Linked DNA regions of Oryctolagus cuniculus. The protein of the gene in region 5 interacts with the protein of the main gene of each other region in a pairwise test. Links are inferred from orthologs where the notes say so. Each region holds a gene or a part of one and is shown on either strand. Other genes may lie near its edges. The genes, in order: RAB11B, TRIM54, RAB25, BNIP2 and MYO5B.

Region 1 (4,012 bases), on a different chromosome or scaffold from region 5:
GGGGACCTTAACTGTGCCAAGAGCCTGACTGGTGAGCAGGCCCTGACCCCCACCAATCCTGTCATGCCCCTCACTGCTGCCCTGTCCTGTCTTCAGCTCCACATTGCACCTGTTCCCTGCCCCTATCTTCTTCTTACTTGCTGGATACCTTTGGGGCCCTCTAGCCTCAATTTTCCCATCTTTAAAATGGGTATAACCATGGCACTCAGGCTGTGAAGTGGAACCCGCGAAAGTGCCTTTTGAAGGGGTCAAAAGTAGTGAGTGGAGTATCGGTCGTTTCGTTCGGCCTGAGCTCGCTCGTATAAATTGATCTCAGATGTGACAACTGTGTTTGAGAAGTGGGAGCCATGTGCCCTGTGCCAGGCATGGAGACCTGACTTGTTGTGGTCACGGGTCACGGGAGCTGCTTCACTGTGATGACAGGGCAAGGGGGTGCCCAGGGGCCCTAACACGGCTGCATCTCCTGTAGACTTCACAGTCACTGCCAGTGTAGGGTCCCAAGCTCGGTCCGGCCCCAGCCCTGTCCTGACTTGTCCCCTCTCCTCTGCCTTTGCCCTGCAGGTGGCTGGTGGTTCGGCACCTGCAGTCACTCCAACCTCAACGGCCAGTACTTCCACTCCATTCCCCGGCAGCGGCGGCAGCGGAAGAAAGGCATCTTCTGGAAGACCTGGCGGGGCCGCTACTACCCGCTGCAGGCCACCACCATGCTGATCCGGCCTGCGGGAGCCGAGGCGGCCTCCTAGCCTCCTCACTGGGGCCTGCACCCAGGCTCCTCGTGGACACTGACTTTGGCTTGGGCCCAGGAGGTGGCCGGCCACTCCCTGCCCAGGCAGGGGCTCCACGCAGGAGCCATTTGGAGCCTGGTGGACAGAGCAGATGCCCGAGACTTGAGAGAGGCTCCCTGTCTGAGCGGGAAGCCACACAGGATGTTCATGGAGAAGAACCAGGGCCACGCACGGGACCGTGGAAGCGTGGGACTCAGGGGCATTCAGAGTCCTCCTCCTCGCCCGCCCGAGGAGTGGGGGACGCAGAGGGACCACTCGGAGATGGCCAGGCTGGCCTTCGACGGCGGACTCAGTCACATTGACTGGTGCGGGGCACCGGGGCGCCCTCACGGTGCTGCCGTGGTGTGAGCTGGCGCAGCGGTGTCCAGGCGGGGTTCACAGGATTCTTGGGAATAAAAGCAACTTCGGAACATTTTGTCCTTTTTTTTTTTTGGCCTTTGGTTTGTTTTTTAAAAGCGCACAAAGTCCACATCAACATGTGCCGGGGTGGGGAGGACGTACCCCCAGGTCTCCTGAGGACAAGGCTGGTTGAGCCGCCACCCTCCACTGATGTCACTTTGCTTTATTTATCCTCTCGCCCAGCGTGTTTTCCTTTGCAAAATCATGAGAAAATCCTCACTCGCTTCAGTCCCAGCACAAGCAGGTTAACAGAGAAACTGAAGCTGTAAAATCCCTTCGCAACCACATTGACGCAAAAGAATCTCAGTTTTGTTTTTTTTTTTTTTGAGATCAGAGCACGCATTTTCTGGTTCACTCTCCAAATACCTGCAACAGCCAGGGCTGAATCAGGCTGAAGCTAGGCAGTTCAGGTCTCCCATGCGGGTGGCAGGAACCCAAGTACTTGAGCCATCACCTACTGCCTCCCAGGATCTGCTTTAGCAAGAAGCAGAGGTGGGTTGGCTGGCACCACAGCTCACTTGGCTAATCCTCCGCCTGTGGCGCCAGCACCCCGGGTTCTAGTCCCGGTCAGTGCGCCGGATTCTGTCCTGGTTGCTCCTCTTCCAGTCCAGCTCTCTGCTGTGGCCCGGGAAGGCAGTGGAGGATGGCCCAAGTGCTTGGGCCCTGCACCTGCATGGAAGACCAGGAGAAGCACCTGGCTCCTGGCTTCGGCACCTGGCGCAGCACCGGCCATAGCGGCCATATGGGGGAGTGAACCAACAGAAGGAAGACCTTTCTCTCTCTCTCTCTCTCTCTCTCTCTCTCTCTCTCTCTCACTGTCTAACTGCCTGTCAAATAAATTAAAAAAAAAAAAAAAAAAGGAAGCAGAGGTGGGACTTGGACCCCGCGGCATGACATGCAGGTGTCCCAAGTGGCATCAACCACTGTAGCAAACGCCCATCCCCCACAGACTTTTGGAAGTACCTTCATACAGCTGACTGTAAATACGAATGCAGGATTTTTGGTAAATTTTTCAAAAAATTTTTTGCACCATATCTACATATTTTCTACTCTGGAATTTTCTCTCTCTCTCTTTTTTTTCCCTATAGCTTTATTTATTGAGAGGCAGGGCTAGCGAGAGGAAGAGAGAGGGAGAGAGCGAGCTTCCATCTGCAAGGAATGGCCAAATGGCTGCATCGGCCAGAGCTGCGCTGATCTGAAGCCAGGAGCCAGGAGCTTCTTCCCAGTCTCCCACATAGGTGCAGGGGCCCAAGCACTTGGGCCATCTTCTGCTGCTTTCCCAGGCCATTTAGCAGGGACCTGGATTGGAAGAGGAGCAGCCAGGACTAAAACCGACACCCATATGGGAAAGCCAGCCCTGCAGGCAGAGGCTTATCCTACTACATCCCAGTGCTGGCCACTAAGTTGACGTTTTTTTATGGCAATAGAAATTTAAGATTTAGCTTTTTAAAAGATATACTTACGTATTTGGCAGAAGAACAGACAGAGAGAGGTAGTCTTCCATCTGCTGGTTCACTACCTAGGCCTGAGCCAGACTGAAACCAGCAGTCTGGAACTCCACCCCTGTCTCCCATGTGGGTGGCAAGACCCCAGGGACTTGGGCCATTTCCCACTGCTTTCCCAGATGTATCGAGTTAACCTCCTGTGCCACAATGCCAGTCCTCAAATTCAGTATTTATTGAGTAGCTACTGCCTACCAAGTCCTGTATCAGATGCCCGGGCTATTCTAGCGAGCAGAAAGACCCTTTGCCCTCACTGACCTGAATGCCATAGCCCCTCCTATTACAGACAGGGCGGCCTGTGACTGATGATCCACACCGGGACACTTGGACAGTGAAGTGAGCAGCTCATTCCCAGACGTAATCAGGACCTCCTGACCCAGATTTTCCTTTTTAAATGTAGTCATAAGGGTGGGTATTCAGCACAGCGGTGAAGACACCACTTGGGACGCCAGTTCCAGGCTCCTGGTGTTTGGACTTGGCTGTTGCAAGCATCTGAGGGAGTGAACCAGCAGATGAACCATCTCTGTCTTTCCAATACGGCCAAAAAAAAAAAAAACATTAAAAATATATAATCATAGCTCTACCGCATCGGCAAAACCAAATCATTCGCTGTAAATAGGTCAGGAAAATTAGAGTTGATGAAAGTAAAACAATGCCTGTGCTTTAGGATTCTAGCTGGGGAACTGCTTTATGAAGACACTGAAGGACGTGCTTGGTCTCAGGAACGGGGACACGCTGTGAGAGTGTATTGTGAGCCAGTTCTGTCGTGTGTGCTCCTGCCGTGCACCTGCACAAAGCTGGAAGGTATAGCTCAACTGATGCACGTGGCCATTTGGCGCAATGGAGACTCAGTATACATGACATACACAAGGGTCTTGCTGGTGTAATGCGGCAGACTGCTCTACAGTAAACGTTATTTTCATTTCATTTGAAAGACAGAGACAGACAGAGACATGGAGAGAGATCTTCCATCTACTGGTTCACTCTCCAAATGCCCACAACAGCCAGGGCTGGCCCAATCCAAAGACAAGTGCTTAGAACTCCATCTGGATCTCCCCAGTAGGTGGCAGGGACCCTGGTACTGGAGCCATCACCTGCTGCCTCCCAGGGTGTGCATCAATAGGAAGCTGAATGCGATGCAGAGTAGCTCAGGTGCAAACCCAGATTTTCCAGTGTAGGAGGAGGCAGGCATCCCGAGCAGTGACTTAACCACGGTGCCAAACACCTGCGCCAAAAGTCAACTTTCTACAAGTAGGAGTACACTGTAAAATAAGGATAAAAAGTACAGGAGAGGGGCCAGCATTGTGGCACAGTGGGTTAAGCACC
Region 2 (3,512 bases), on a different chromosome or scaffold from region 5:
GTAAATGGTGGGCAGCGGGGCCACCTCGCAGTCCTTGTGGGCCCCGAAGACCTTGCAGAGGGAGCAGGTGGGCACCTCGCAGCTCAGGCAGTAGATGTTGATCTTCTCGTCCTCATGCTCTTCGCACATGAGGTGCTGCTCGGCCTTGGAGTGCAGTGGCCTGGAGAGGAGCGCACAGGGGCGAGGTGGCGGGGTCAGGGGCCAGGCCCCAGGGAGCACCCAAGCAGGTTGGGTGGCAGGGAGGGCCAGGTGCCAGCCCCTGAGGAGCGCCCGTGCGTGTGGGGCCCCTCAACACCTTCTCTTCAGCTCCACCAATCACCAGCACCTTCCCTGCCCCTGCCGTGGGTGCTGCTGGGTGGGTGAGTGACTTCCATGGGGCTCTTAATTTGGAGAACAGAAGGACTTAAGAGGTGGAGGAGGCGTGGATCCGAAAAGAGACTGCATTTCGGGGGCCCTGGGAGCCCCACGGGACAGCAGATATGAGAGGGGAGAGGGGAAACCTGGGCCTGGGTGGGGCAGGGAGGCCTGGCCTCTCTGGGTGGCCGGGGGCAAGCCCCTGCCTCCTCTGGGCCCATCCTTGCATCCCCAAACCGAAGGAGCAGATCGCCTGATTCCACAGCCCCCCCCCCCCCACGGAGCCCCCAGGCCGTGCCCCAGGCGGCACACGCGGCCCTGACGGCTCACCGCGAGGACTCCTGCTTGTAGATGTCGATGATGTTTTCCACGAGCAGGTTCCTCTGCAGGCCATAGACCCCGTGTCTGTCCAGGACAACCTCGTGCCTGCAAGATGGGCAGCGGAAGCGGCCTCCTGAAGACACGGTGCTGGAGCCCCGGGATTGCCACAGAGGGTTGGAGGCCTGTAGGGATGGGTGTTGTGAGAAGGCGGGCACGGCGAGGTGTGCGAGGACTGAGGGAAGCAGGGGTGAAGGTGGTGAGGGCGCAGGAGGAGGAGGAGAATGAGGCAGGGCGGGGCAGCTCCGGCAGGCGGGTGGCCATGGAGTTCCTGGGCCCCGCCTCGTCACCCAGCCTGGCTCTGTAAGTGTTCAACTCCATAGCCTAGCTCTTGTCAGGGCCCAGCCACGATGGGGTCTCTACCGAGGGGTCCAGTTTGGAGCGATGGGGAGATGTTGGCCTCTACAGGAAAAGCTGGGGTAGGAAAGGGGCTCGGAGCCAGACCGTAGCTGAGAGCTGGATCGGAAGTGGAGCAGCTGGGATTCAAACTGTCGTCCATTTGTGATGCCAGCACTGCAGGCGGCGGCTTTACCCACTACGCCGCAGTGGCATCCCCTGCCCTAGCGGTCATTACACTACACGGTCAGATACAATACAGCTTGGGCTAACTGAAGGTGATGTCCAGCGCTAACACGTGTCTCTGAGTCTTAGGCAGAGGCAAAGGTTTTCAAATGAAAACAAACTGCATTTCATGTTAAACACAGAGTGAGAGAAACACAGATGGAGAGAGAGCGCCCATCTACGGGCTCACGCCGCGAATGCCCCCAACAGCCAGGAGTGGGCCAGGCCAGAGCCAGGAGCCCAGAACTCCATGAAGGTCCCCCACGTGGATGACAGAGACCCTCGCACTCGAGCCGTGCTCTGCTGCCTCTCAGAGTGCACTCCAGCATGGAGTGGGATCGGAAGTGGGGTCAGGCACCTGCCCATATGTGGACGTCCCAGGTGGCGACTTAACCACTGTGCCAAATGCTTGCCCTGGGATGACTGAGCATCAACACCCTTCACAGAGGGAAAAGGCTACAGCCTAAAAATCGGTGATGCAACTCTAGATGGACGTTACTGAAGCAAAGATAAAGAAAAGGCAACCCAGGTGTCAAGGCCAGGTGTCCCACAGAGCGCCAAAGGGCTCCTTCCCACCAGAACGGCCTGCTCGTCTGTGACGGAAACAAATCCTGGTACCTGAGCAGTCAACCAGCGGATGGAAGAGCTCTGTCTCTCTCTCTGTCTTTCTTCCTCTTATTTTTTTAAGATTGATTTATTTATTTGAAAGTCAGAGCTACACAGAGAGAGGAGAGGCAGAGAGAGAGAGGTCTTCCATCCACTGGTTCACTCCCTAATTGGTCACAACGGCCGGAGCTGCGCCAATCCAAAGCCAGGAACCAGGAGTTTCTTCTGGGGCCCAAGGACTTGGGCCATCTTCCACTGCTTTCCCAGGCCATAGTAGATAGCTGGATCGGAAGTGGAGCAGCCAGGTTTCAAACCAGCGCCCATATGGGATGCCGGCGCTTCAGGCCAGGGCATTAACCCGCTGCGCCACAGCGCTGGCACACCCTCACTGCCTTTTTTTTCTTTTTTTTTTTTTTTGGACAGGCAGAGTGGACAGTGAGAGAGAGAGACAGAGAGAAAGGTCTTCCTTTACCATTGGTTCACCCTCCAATGGCCGCCGCTGCCGGCGCACCGCGCTGATCTGAAGCCAGGAGCCAGGTGCTTCTCCTGGTCTCCCAAGGGGTGCAGGGCCCAAGCACTTGGGCCATCCTCCACTGCACTCCCGGGCCACAGCAGAGAGCTGGCCTGGAAGAGGGGCAACCTGGACAGAATCCGGCGCCCCGACCGGGACTAGAACCCGGTGTGCCGGCGCCGCAGGCGGAGGATTAGCCTAGTGAGCTGCGGTGCCGGCCTCTCACTGCCTTTCAAATAGATAACAATAAAATAGTAAGACTTTGAAAACAGTTCAATTTCACGTTCTGTGCTTTTTACCGCAACTTTCACAGAGGGAACAGAGGGAACCAGGAGTGGGGGATCCTCAGCCCCTGGGGCTGCCGCTCATTCCCCGCTGCCAGGACCCACAGCCGAGGCAGCACGTGCCTCTCCCCAGCACCCCCCACACTAAAGAAGTTTCCTAAACGCTCCTCGCTCCTCGCAGCGGCTAATCCTGGAAGCCGGGAGGCCGAGACGCCCTCATTCCGCGGGCAGCCCACCCCAAGGCCTGTGCTGCAAGAGCCTTTCTCTGCGGGAGAGGAAGCAGGAAGCCGAGCGCACACAGGTGAGTGCGGGCACGGGGCAGGAGGGCCTGCACCCTGGCCTTCTCTGCGGCCTGGCTCAGCGCGGCACCACGGGCCAGCGTCTCCCATGTGGCCTTCCGGCCCCTGGTCCCGCGGCCCCCCTGGGCCCGGCCTGGCTGCCCCTTCTGAGACAGCTTCAGTTGCCTCCGCCCGACTCCCAGCCCTACTTTTTTGCCAGTCTCTGGCACACACACACACGCACGCACGTGCACACACACACACGTGCACTTTGCTCCCAGGACTACATTTGCCTGGCAACAAAATAGTAAAGCTGATCTCTGGGACTTTCCAGGGCTGCCCGGTGCGTGGTGCGAGACTCACGTCGCCTGGAGCCCTTCACTGTGCTTCCCAAAGCATGGAGCCACCTGCTGTGAGCGATAGGAAGACTGTGGCGGGTGGCAGCAGGGACATCGAGGGTCTGTATGAGTTTATTCTGATGCAGGTTAGGGAAAAACGCCTGTAAGACTGGGGATTTTTTTCCTGGATGTTATTGCTTAG
Region 3 (4,238 bases), on a different chromosome or scaffold from region 5:
AATAAAAAATAAAAAAAAAAAAAAAGAAGTGGAGCAGTAGGGGTCGGTGCTGTGATGCAGCCGGTAAAGCTGCTGCCTGCTGTGCCGGCATACCGTATGGGCGCCAGTTTGAGACCTGGCTTCTCCACTTCCAATCTAACTTTCTGTTATGGCCTGGGGAAGCAGTAGAAGATGGCACAAATCCTTGGGCCCCTGTACCCACATGGAAACCTGGAAGAAACTCCAAGCTCCTGGCTTCGGATGGGCCCAGCTCCGGCTGTTGGAGCCATTTGGGGAGTGAACTAGTGGTTGGAAGACCTTTCTCTCTCTGTCTCTGCCTCTCTGTAACTCTGACTTTCAAATAAATAAACACATCTTTTAAAAAAAAAGAAGAGGAAGAAAAGAAGTGGAGCATCCAGGACTTGAACAAGCATCCATTTGGGATGCTGGAGTTGCAGGTGGCTGTTTAACTTAGTGCACCACAATGCCAGCCCCAAGGATGCCTTTTAAATTTTTTTTTTTTTTATTTGAAGGGGAAAGAGAGAAAGAGAGATCTTCCATCTACTGGTTCACTCCCAAATGCCCACAACAACCAGGACTGGGTCAGGTCAAAGCTGGGAGCTCAGGACTCCTCAGGTTCTCCCAGCTTGGGTGGCAGGGACTCAAGGACCTGAGTTATTACTTGCTGCCTCCCAGGGTGCTTGTTAGCAAGACGCTGGACCAGGCACTCTGATACGGGGTGCAGGCAGCCCAAGCAGTGACTTAACAAGTGCACCAAACACCAGCCTCAACAAGATGCATTGGTGTGTGTGTGTGTGTGTGTGTGTGTGTGTGTGTGTCTCTCCAGTCCTGTGCAGGGAGTGAAAGAAACTAGGAGGGCTCTCAGAGGCCTCACCTGCAGGTCCTGCCCCAGCAGGCGCTTTCTGCCCTAGGTCTCCCCTACCCAGTGTCCTTAAAGCAGGTCTGTGTAGGGAAGCAGGGAGGTTGCAAGCCCAGCTCCACCTGGCCCAGGCCCAGGGCTGTCCCAGGGAGGGAGGCAGTGCAGCTCCCACAGCTCTGCCTTGCAGCAGGTGATTGGCAGCCCGGCCCCACACCAGCAACAGCCCTACTTCTAGCACCCCCAGCAACCCCCCAACCAGAAGTTCTGAAGGAGAAACAGGAAGCCAAGGGACTTTCTGTGCCCTAGGGGGGCCTATTTCTCCCTGGTGGCTTGGCCCCCTCGCCACAGATCCGTGTGGATCCAGCCCTTTGAAGATCCTGTGCCTGTCCAAGCTTCTTCCCCGACTCTGGCCCCCCTAGCATTGGCTCTGCTGCATGCGCGGGAGCCCAGCAGGGAGAGCAGACACCCAACCTGTCTAACCTGTCTGACGTCATCATCTCTCCACCCACCTGGGCCCCAGGTCTCCAGTCGCCCGCTCTTCCTGTTCTCAGCTTCCGTCTGCCCGCTTCCTTGCTGCACCCCCAGCTGCCTGCCTGGCTTCCGCTCGCCCTCAGTCTCTCCGGCTGGAGAAGTCGCTTCACCCCCAATGAGAGGAGGGGCGGGCCCAGGTCTCCCGAGAGCCGAGGGTTGAGGGTACTGAGCCAGCGCACTGCCTTGTCACCTCTGCCCCCCCTCCCCGACCCACCCAAAGACACCTGCACCCTCCATGCGGAGCCAAGATGGGGAACGGAAAGGAGGAAGATTATAACTTTGTCTTCAAAGGTGAGTTCGGGTCCCGAAGGGAGGAAGTGTGAGAGGCCCGGGAAGGAACAAACACAGCCAGAGAGGGCCCCTCTTGTGTTTTGATCTGGTCCCAGGACCCCCAGGGTCATCATGCCCTCCTGCTAAGAAAGCAAGCTGCAGGGGGAGTGGGGGCGGGTCTCAGGGCAAAAGTCCAGGGGCTGCCAAGTGTGTTGATCACCCTGAAAGTGCCAAGTTAGGCTCCCCTGCCCGACTCCCCGCCCACCCCCCCCCCAAGAGTCAGCCCCTGCAGCGCCGGAGATGGAGGTCAGACTTCAGAAAGGACTTCCCCTCTGGGAACAAGGGAAAGAGAGTCGACTTTCCAGGCAGGTGTATAGAAAAGGAAAGGAGAGAGCTGCCTCGCCCTAGGGCTGGGGGAGACATACAAAGGGCAGATGTAATGCATCAGGCAGGGGCTGGCCGGCTCCAGAGGAAGCTACTGCTTACTGCTGCTGGGCCGGAGCTTTGTCTCTCCCTCGCAGACTCCTTGGACTCAGGCCCCAGGCCCTGGGTTCCACTTGGCTGTCCCTGCAAGTATGTGTGTGTATCTTTCCTGCTTCTTTATCTCAGCCCCTGTGTTTGGCCCCTCTGTGTTCCCCAACCCAACCTCCACGCCTCCTTCAGGACAGGGCAGACTGGTAGAGCCAATGCTTCCCCCTCCAGCCACCCCACCCCACTGCCTCTCCCAGCCTCGGCCCCACCCTCACGCAAGCTGGGGAACCTGTACTCCCGGCATCTTTCCCAGGAAGGACGCCGACAGGCTGGGGGTTAGCCCTGCCTCCATACCAGCCCCTATCTCATTAAAAACCCTAACATGCCCCCTGAAAGTCATCTTTCCTTCTGAGAGGCAGTCCAGCCCAATGGTCAGGGCCCAGCCAGGGTTCAGGTCTCAGCTCTGCCACCTTAAAGTCGCAGCAGGTGGCAGTGTCCAGAGGCAGACACTGAGAAGGTTAGAGCAACACTGGTGAAAGGCAGGGGAGGAAACAGGGTTGGGCACAGGGAGAAGTTGGGCTGCACGCAGGCTCTATGCAGGGCGGGAGCGCTGCTAGCCTCACCTTGCTCAGGCACGGGGTGCGGGCTGCCTGGGAGAGGCTGACTTCAATGAGGCCGCTGTTATAGCCACGTATAGCCAGGGCGGGCGTGGCAGGAGCTGGGGGCCTGAGGCTGGCTGCTGCCTGTACTGCCTGCAGCGCGTGGGGCTGGGGTGATGGGCAGGTGCTGCACGGCAGCTCTGGACGGCACACCTCTGTGTTTGCATTAGCTGTGTTATTTGGAGTGTTTGTGTCCTTGTTGATAAAAATGAGGACAATCATAATGGTACTCACCTCACGGCACTGTCGTGAAGATTTAGCGAGTACTGGTGAGCCTGTAGCACAGTGCCTGGCACACACAGTAGGCGCTCAAACCGTGTTAACCAACAGAATCTCTGTTTTGCAATGAGAAACTGAGACTTAGAGGCAGGGTAATTAGCTTCCCTGAGGTCACAAAGCCACAGCACTCAAAAGAACTTTTCCTGGGCAACTTTGGAGCAACTAGGAGCTGCACTCCCAACAGGGAAGAGGCAGGTGTGCACACGCACACACACACACCACAATACACACACCAGAGGTCTTTAAAAAGTTTTTTTTTTCTTTTTTTACAGGCAGAGTGGACAGTGAGAGAGAGAGAGACAGAGAAAGGTCTTCCTTTTGCCGTTGGTTCACCCTCCAATGGCTGCCGCGGCCAGCGCGCTGCGGCCGGCGCACTGCGCTGATCCGATGGCAGGAGCCAGGTATTTATCCTGGTCTCCCATGGGGTACAGGGCCCAAGTACTTGGGCCATCCTCCACTGCACTCCCTGGCCAAAGCAGAGAGCTGGCCTGGAAGAGGGGCAACCGGGACAGAATCCGGCGCCCCGACCGGGAGTAGAACCCGGTGTACCGGCGCTGCAAGGCAGAGGATTAGCCTAGTGAGCTGCAGCGCCGGCCATCTTTAAAAAGTTTATGACAAATGCATATTATGACAAATGCTGCATAGACTTCACAAATTTTTTGCACTGGAATAAACTTATCTTTTAATTCCATTTTCCATGAACCTTAAAGCATCCTCAGTCAAATACACACACAACTCTTTCATGGCCGACACAAATACTGCATTTTTAATGTCAGACGGGGCCTTTATAGTTTGTACAAGCAAGGAAGTGAAATCCAGAAAAGGTGAGCCACTTGTTCAAGTTTGCCCAGCTAGTCACAGGCTGAACAGAGCCCACAGCCCAAAATACATAGTCCCAGTCCTTGGGCACCACTTTTCCACCTTGGGGCCACCCTGGGGGGCCTCCTCTGATCCTGGGTGCTCGGCTCAGTGCTGGCGCAATGGGTGAGTTGTACGGACACCAGCCCCTGACACTCCCCCCAGGCCCTGGCTCACCCACAGTCGGGAGACCCGGGCCCAGGACTCCATCTACCCCTAAGGTGGAGACCATTCTTCTTGCCACTTTCCATACAGAAAAGAAGCTTCACAGAGGCTTAGTAACCTGCTGATGGGCACAGAGCTGGCCCAGC
Region 4 (4,304 bases), on a different chromosome or scaffold from region 5:
AGATAGTGAGAGAGAGAGAGAGACAGAGAGAAAGGTCTACGGCCAGTGCGCTGCACTGATCTGAAGCCAGGAGCCAGGTGTTTCTTCCCAGTCTCCCACGTGGGTGCAGGGGTCCAAACATCTGGGTCATCTTCTGCTTTCCCAGGCCATAGCAGAGAGCTGGATTGGAAGAGGAGCATCCAGGACTAGAACCGGCGCCCATATGGGATGCCAGCGCCACAGGCAGAGGATTAACCTACTGTGTCACTGCGTGGCCCTATCATATAAGTTTTTAAGAATAAAATGAAAGGCTGGGGCTGTGGCACAGCAGGTAAAACTGCCGCCTGCAGTGCTGGCACACATATCGCTGCCAGTTCGAGACCTGGCTCCACTTCTGATCCAGCTCTCTGCTATGGCCTGGGAAAGCAGCAGAAGATGGCCCAAGTCCTTGAGTCCCTGCACCCTCATGGGAGACCCGGAAGAAGCTCCCGGCTCCTGGTTTTGGATCGGACCAGCTCTGGCCAGTGCGGCCATCTGGAGAGTGAACCAGTGGATGGAAGACCTGTCTCTCTCTCTCTGCCTTTGCCTAACTGTAACTCTGCCTTTCAAATAAGTAAATAAATCTTTAAAAAAAAATAAATGAGATCTCTATGAGAAATGTTAACTCAAAATATCAGTATGCAGGGGCCGCTGTTGTGGCATAGTGTGTTAAGCTACCACTGGCATCCCCTGAGTTCTAGCTTTTGATCCAGCTCCCTGCTAATGGGCCCAGGAAAGCACCAGAAGATGGCTCAAGTGTTTAGGCCTCTGCCACCCACATGGGAGACCTACATGGAGTTCCAGGCTCCTGGCCCAGCCCCAGCTGTTGCGGCCATCTGGGGAGTGAACAAGTGGATGCAAGATCTCTCTCCCCTCTCTGACTCTGCCATTCAAATAAATAAAGAAATCTTAACAAAAAGTGATCAGTATGCAGAACATACTAGAGACCGTTAAAAAGAGCTTAACAACTGTGTGATATTACTATCACCATATCATAGTATTTTTGCTTTATATGAAGTACTCTTAACAAGACACCTTTTGATCCAATGTCAGTCAAGGTTAATATACTGGATCTGGGTCTGTGTCTTTTTTTTTTTTTTTCTAGATAGCTCTTATCCTTATCGCTCAAGCATTAATCCAGTTAGAATGAACAGTGCCCTGTCCAAAACAGTGCTTTTCACCACTTACTGACACTTGTACAACCATCATCTCATCTGCTCCAGCCGACAACTTTTGTGAGGCGCCGACACTGGTATTATTATCCCTGTTCTGTCTTATGTGAGCAAATGACACCACATCCTGGATCCCGGAGCTCCTCCACTGGCAGCTTTATACACGGTAAGTCTCATGGCCGGATCTGGTACACTTAGTTTCAAAGGTTCCGTAATGCCTGCAAGTCACAAGAACCTTCCTTGCTTGATGACAACCTAGTTCAAGTTCATGTTTGCAGAAGATATGTCATACTTTCTAAGCCCAACTTCAGGCTGCAGGAGGAAAGATGATCAAGACCAGGAACGCAGTTTACAAAATAAGAGCTAAGGAGAAAACGTGCAAGATGACTCAGAAACTACTAGTCAGAACGTTAACTTCACTAGGTAACTTCCATTAAAATTCTGGCGAAATGTAGCCATTTACAAATTACAAAATTTCTTCTACAACTGCAGAAGCTCTCATAAAACATCAGAAAAAGGAGACATTTTACTGAAAGTAAAAAATCAAGCAGTACTTAAGTTAGACTCCCCCGTTTAAAAAAAAAAAAAAAAGGCAAGGATGGAAAAAGCACCACTATAATGCACTCACTTCACTCAACCAACTGGGAGGCACTGGGACTACCTTAATGAACACAGAAAAGCTGTCTGCGCAGAGCCCCCCCAGACAGACGAGGTCAGTTTCAAAGCAACGTATTAAAGATCGAAACACATTTCTGATTTAACACGGGTTGATCAAGTAGCTTAGCTCTCCAGGGGCAGCGGACGCACCCAGGACATCAAACCCTTTCTCGCCAGGTACTTAACAGGCCGTGTCTGTAAACACGGAGGGACGCAGCTTTTCACGCACACACCCGGTATTTGGCCGAGCTCGCCCGGGGCCGTCTATAAAGCCCTGTTTGCTGTTTCCGTGCCTAACCCCCGAAGGTACGCGGCACGCCACACAAGTCCAAGTTTCCTTTGTTCTGCAACAGGACAGACTCAGACCACCAGTACGGAACCAACGCGGCCCGTCACCGCGCCCAGACCCCGGGTGGAGGGAGGAGCAGACACGGGGGAAGGTTCCATCCCCGGCACAAGCAACAAAAACGGAAAAGCGACGGAGCTGGGGGTGCAAGGCTGGCAAACGCACACAAGGAGCCGAGCCAAGGGCGGGGACCTGAGCCGGGCGGGGAGCCGGAAGGCGCCTCCCAAGCAGGTTCGAGCGCACCCCGAACAACGGAAAACGCCCTGGGCCTCCGCTCCGCAGCAGCCGGCCTTGGGCAAGCGCCCCTTCAGACGTGCGCCCCCAGCCCAGTTCCCGGCGCCCGGACTCGCCGTGCTGAGCCCTCCCAGGCCGCACTCACCCCGGAGGAAGCCTTGGCCTCCTCGTCCTCTTCTACCCTCCAGGCCGGCGACGTGGTGCTGACTGCCAGGTCGCAGAAGACGGCGCCGAGAGGAGCCCGCTCCTCTCGGTCAGCGGTGCACAACCCAGCCTAGTCCCCGGCCGCAGCCCCAGCGGCAGCTGCAGCGGCAGCAGTTGACCCGGACGCAAAAAGCAGCCCGGGCGGAAGTGACAGCATCCTGACCCTTTCTAGGCTCTGCGGGAGGCGGGGGCGGGGCCGGGGCGTGGGGGGGCGCGGCCGGGGCGTGGGGGCGTGGCTTCCTAGTCAAACCCACAGCTTTGCTCCCTCCTCCGCTGTCCCGGGCTAATACCTGCGCGTGCGCACTTGCGGCAACTGGAGCAGCCCTTGGCTTTTGGGTCTCTACTCTCTTTTTTCCGCTTTTCCCTGCGGTGAGGACGCCTGCGAACTCAGGGTCATTGCTATTTTTCTTCTGCTTGTTTTTACTATCGCTACAGTGCCTGTGTTGTATAAAGTAAATGACCCGAGGGGAGGAAATATATGCGAAGCTTACTTTCAGGCATGTAGATCTCAAGGCAGTCTCATTTAGGGGCTGCTGTTGTGGTTCTGATCGCAGGTTCGAGTCCCAGCTGCTCCACTTCTGATCCAGCTCCCTGCTAATGCACCTGGGAAAGCAGTAGAAGATGGCCCAAGTGCTTGAGCCCCTGCACCCACTTGGGGGCCTGGATGAAGCTCCTGGCTCCAGCGGACTATTGCCAGCGGATGGAAGATGTTCTCTCTCTCCTTGTCTCTGTTAACTTTGACTTTCCAAATAAATAAACAAATAAGCGTTCGGCAAAACTTTCTCTGTAAAGATTTACTTCTTTAATTGAATGGTAGAGTTAGAAAGAGAGGGAGAAACATCGATCTTCCATCCCTGGTTCACTCTCCAAATGGCCCAAGTGCTGAGGCTGGGGCTGGGACTGGGGCTGGGCCAGACCCAAGGCCAGAGGCCAGGAACTCCATCCGGGTCTTCCACTTAGGTGCCCCAGGCCCAGGCACTACCACCATCCCCCATTGCTTGCCCAGGCACCTTAGCAGGAAGCTGGATGGGAAGTGGAGCAGCTGGGACCTGAACAGGCTTAACCTGTTTGGCCACCAAGTTGATCCCAAATCCTCTTTATTTTGAACAGCTTTAGAGCAGTGTTTCTCAAACTATCTCTGGAGTGCCATCAGTTTATTATCATTTTAAAAATTTCTGGCCGGTGCCGTGGCTCACTTGGCTAATCCTCCACCTGCGGCACCAGCACACCAGGTTCTAGTCCCAGTGGTGCACACCAAGTTCTAGTCCCAGTGGGGTGCTGGATTCTGTCCCGGTCGCTCCTCTTCCTGTCCAGCTCTCTGCTGTGGCCCGGGAAGGCAGTGGAGGATGGCCCAAGTGCTTGGACCCTGCACCTGCATGGGAGACCAGGAGAAGCACCTGGCTCCTGCCATTGGATCAGCGCGGTGCACCAGCCGCAGCAGCCATTGTGGGGTGAACCAATGGAAAAAAGGAAGACCTTTCCCTCTCTCTCTCTCTGTCACTCTGCCTGTCAAAAAAATTTTTTTTCCAATTGTGAATCATATTTTAATAAAATATAAATGAAATGAAAAAAGGTCTATGAACTCCAAATGAAAATATTTTTATTACAGTCACCAGCTGTAGCATTTCTTGTAAAATTGCTCTATGGATTTCTAAACTCTGCACCTTAATTTC
Region 5 (3,512 bases):
AAAAAAACAACTATCCTCAAATGATCACATAGCGGCCCACACAGTAACAGATGGCAATCAACCTCCCACCCCAAAAAAGTATTACAGGAGGTTTCTCTGCACCTGCAATCACAGCCTGAGCTGCACCTGCTACAGCGAAGTCAGCCCACTCTTCCTGCTGGGACAGAACACTGGGACAGCCCATCCACGGCGGCGGAAAGCTCTCTCTACACCAACGGCCACTTAGCTGGCTCGCTGGCGGGGCCACACGTTTTCAGAGACTAATTGTGCACAGTTAGACTGCATTGGTGGGCATGGTTTCTGAGTCCACTGCGAAGGCTTAGACAGCCTGCTCATCAGTGGGAGGAAGGGCAGCCGTGCCCAGTAGGCCCCACATATGGGTGCATCAGAGGCCCAGCACTTGGCCCTGCCAGCTGAGGCAGTGGGTAACGCGGGTGGAAGGTGACCCCCGCAGTCTGACCTGGGTCCCTCTACCGTATCTGCTGCTTGGAAGTAGAGGTTCTGCTATTAACCTCAGAGAAGTGCGGCACAGGACGAGCCCCAGAAGGCAGCCACAGGGTACAGCGGGCTGTGCACAGGCCCGGGCCGCACACCAGGCAGCCAGCTCCCAGGAGCAGTGAGGACTAGCTCGCCTGGTGCCTCCTCTTCACCGAGAGCAGCCGCACATGAGCAGATTTCTCTTCTCACCCATGAGAAACGCTATGCTAAGATGTGGACCCTGACAGGTGAACCACGCAAAAATCTCAACCACCCGGAGTGCAACTAACTAACCACAAGCCTCGATTATCCAGACCATCGCCCCACTGTGAGAAAAAACAGAGGGGGTGGGGGGAGTGAGGCAAGGGGCTCCCCATTGTTTAAAGGGAGCTTTAAAACTACATATGCAGCTGGTGCCATGGCTCACTAGGCTAATCCTCCGCCTTACGGCGCCGGCACACCGGGTTCTAGTCCCGGTTGCCCCTCTTCCAGGCCAGCTCTCTGCTGTGGCCCGGGAGTGCAGTGGAGGATGGCCCAAGTGCTTGGGCCCTGCACCCCATGGGAGACCAGGAGAAGGACCTGGCTCCTGCCTTCGGATCAGCGCAGTGCACCGGCTGCAGCGCGCTGGCCGCGCTGGACGCACTGGCCATTGGAGGGTGAACCAACAGCAAAAAAGGAAGACCTTTCTCTCTGTCTCTCTCACTGTCCACTCTGCCTGTCAAAAAAAAAAAAAAAAAAAAAAAAACTACATATGCCTCGAGTGCACCATCTTGCACCGTCTACAGCCACAGATGTGAGCAGCTAAGATGGGCAGAAGACAAACCACCACCCAAACCCTGATTACTCACCAGGCAGCTATGTCTGGGTAGACTTTCCTGGCAAAGTCTCAGCTAAAATTTGAAATCCTTGAAGTAACTTTTTTTTTTTTTGACAGGCAGAGTGGACAGTGTGAGAGAGAGACAGAGAGAAAGGTCTTCCTTTACTGTTGGTTCACCCTCCAATGGCCACTGCAGCCAGCGTGCTGCGTCCGGCACACCGCACTGATCCAAAGCCAGGAGCCAGGTGCTTCTCCTGGTCTCCCATGCGGTGCAGGGCCCAAGCACTTGGGCCATCCTCCACTGCACTCGCGGGCCACAGCAGAGAGCTGGACTGGAAGAGGGGCAACCGAGCCAGAATCCGGCACCCCAACCGGGACTAGAACCCGGTGTGCCGGCGCCGCAGGCAGAGGATTAGCCTATTTTTGAGCCATGGCGCCGGCCTGAAGTAACTCTTACATCACCTTCCCCAAAGGATGACTTTTGCTATGACCTAGTCCCTTGAGACAGTGACAGCCATCTGCTACAGTCGCTGAGCTCCGGCAGCTATGGAAGCACTTGAGGACCTGCCTCTCCCAAAAGGCCCCCAACAGCTCTGCTTTTATAGCTCTGCCAGGTGAGATTCCAGCGTAAACCTGCTGTGTTATTTAAACTGTGGAAACGAGCAGAGCCTCAGGCTGGGTGTGCAAACAGGCAAGACCCCAGCAGTGCAGCCATTTGCCCCTCTGCCGACTTCCGGGCTATGCTTGGGCTCCGGAGGTCAGGCAGGCTGAGCTATGGAGGCCCTGGGGAGTCTGGGAGCTCCTGGGACAGCGGCGTGCAGCCACCCCAGCGAGCTGCATGAAGAATTCCATCTCCTGCAGGTGCAGAGTGCTCTGGCGGGTTTAGTAAGGGATGTGGGGAAACGGGGAATAGCTCAGAGGTTCAACGGGCAGAACACTACCACCACCACCACCACCACCACTGCCGCCGCCGCCTCCCACAGCCCACCCCTCGCACCTTAAGGAGGTCCTGCAGGACAGCCTTGCAGACGGCCTTCTTGTCCGTGTTGGCCAGCTCCCTCTTCGCGACCAGCACCCGGTACCGGTTGAAGAAGTCGTGGTAGGCCCACCTGCAGGGAAAGCAAAGGGGCGACAGGTGACACCCTGCTGGGGAGGGGGAAGGTCTACTGGGAGCCTCCGCAGGCTTGTATCAGGCAGGAGTCCTTCTCAGAATGGAACAAACAGCCCCAGGGGCATCCTGTTCTCCCTACAGGCCTCCCCGAGTCCCAGGGTGCTGCGCATGCCTGCAGGTGCCACCGGAGGACCCAGGGAGAAGTGGATCCCGAGGCACCACCCAGAGAAGGGGCCAGGGTCTCCACCCAAGCATGCGGAGTTCTCTCTACCGCTGCTGAAGCCGCCAGGGCCTTCCCTGGAGAGCAGCTTTGCTTTTCAGAGTGTGTGTGTGTAATTTGAAAGAGTTACACACAGAGAGAAGGAGATGCAGAGAGGAGGAGAGGGAGATAGAGAGGTCTACCATCTACTGTTTTCACTCCCCAGATGGCTGCAACAGCCAGAGCTCTGAAGCCAGGAGCTTCCCCCAGATCTCCCATGCGGGTGCAGGGGCCCAAGGACTTGGGCCATCCTCTACTGCTTTCCCAGGCCATAGAGTGCTGGATAGGAAGTGGAGCAGCTGGGATTCAAATCAGCAGCCATATGGGATGACGGTACTGCAAGCAGCAGCTTTAAACACTACATCACAACGCTGGCCCCTTCAGTGGTTTTTTTTTTTTTTTGACAGGCAGAGTGGACAGTGAGAGAGAGAGAGAGACAGAGAGAAAGGTCTTCCTTTGCTGTTGGTTCACCCTCCAATGGCCGCTGCGGCCGGCGCACCGCGCTGATCCAATGGCAGGAGCCAGGAGCCAGGTGCTTTTCCTGGTCTCCCATGCGGTGCAGGGCCCATGCACCTGGGCCATCCTCCACTGCACTCCCTGGCCACAGCAGGGAGCTGGCCTGGAAGAGGGGCAACTGGGACAGAATCCGGCGCCCCAACTGGGACTAGAATCCGGTGTGCCGGCGCCGCTAGGCGGAGGATTAGCCTAGTGAGCTGCGGCGCTGGCCCCCTTCAGTGTTTTTAAGACTTATTCCTTTATTTGAGAGGCAGAGTGACACAGAGAAAGGGGCAAACAGAAAGATCTTCCATCTTGTTCCCTCCCCAAATGGCTGTAATGGCTGGAAGCCA

What was found.
Region 1: the proteins of MYO5B (region 5) and RAB11B interact in binary tests that used the Homo sapiens proteins (3 or more experiments, as listed by UniProt). The link is inferred for Oryctolagus cuniculus from reciprocal best matches to the Homo sapiens genes MYO5B and RAB11B.
Region 2: the proteins of MYO5B (region 5) and TRIM54 interact in binary tests that used the Homo sapiens proteins (3 or more experiments, as listed by UniProt). The two-hybrid records come from large-scale screens. The link is inferred for Oryctolagus cuniculus from reciprocal best matches to the Homo sapiens genes MYO5B and TRIM54.
Region 3: the proteins of MYO5B (region 5) and RAB25 interact in binary tests that used the Homo sapiens proteins (3 or more experiments, as listed by UniProt). The link is inferred for Oryctolagus cuniculus from reciprocal best matches to the Homo sapiens genes MYO5B and RAB25.
Region 4: the proteins of MYO5B (region 5) and BNIP2 interact in binary tests that used the Homo sapiens proteins (3 or more experiments, as listed by UniProt). The two-hybrid records come from large-scale screens. The link is inferred for Oryctolagus cuniculus from reciprocal best matches to the Homo sapiens genes MYO5B and BNIP2.

Annotation. Positions count from the first base shown.
Region 1 is NW_027208201.1:4,438,431-4,442,442, forward strand, and holds the start of RAB11B (ras-related protein Rab-11B), read left to right. Parts: upstream 1-1,210; 5' UTR 1,211-4,012. Other genes in the region: ANGPTL4 (angiopoietin-related protein 4), read left to right, coding at 1-31, 562-743. UniProt on the Homo sapiens protein: The small GTPases Rab are key regulators of intracellular membrane trafficking, from the formation of transport vesicles to their fusion with membranes.
Region 2 is NC_091433.1:175,681,821-175,685,332, forward strand, and holds part of TRIM54 (tripartite motif-containing protein 54), read right to left. Parts: intron 858-3,512; coding exon 685-857; intron 161-684; coding exon 1-160. UniProt on the Homo sapiens protein: May bind and stabilize microtubules during myotubes formation.
Region 3 is NC_091438.1:42,629,542-42,633,779, reverse strand, and holds the start of RAB25 (ras-related protein Rab-25), read left to right. Parts: upstream 1-1,434; 5' UTR 1,435-1,638; coding exon 1,639-1,681; intron 1,682-4,238. UniProt on the Homo sapiens protein: The small GTPases Rab are key regulators of intracellular membrane trafficking, from the formation of transport vesicles to their fusion with membranes.
Region 4 is NC_091443.1:82,563,320-82,567,623, forward strand, and holds the start of BNIP2 (BCL2/adenovirus E1B 19 kDa protein-interacting protein 2), read right to left. Parts: upstream 2,801-4,304; 5' UTR 2,573-2,800; intron 1-2,572.
Region 5 is NC_091441.1:28,139,830-28,143,341, reverse strand, and holds part of MYO5B (unconventional myosin-Vb), read right to left. Parts: intron 2,404-3,512; coding exon 2,292-2,403; intron 1-2,291. UniProt on the Homo sapiens protein: May be involved in vesicular trafficking via its association with the CART complex. The CART complex is necessary for efficient transferrin receptor recycling but not for EGFR degradation.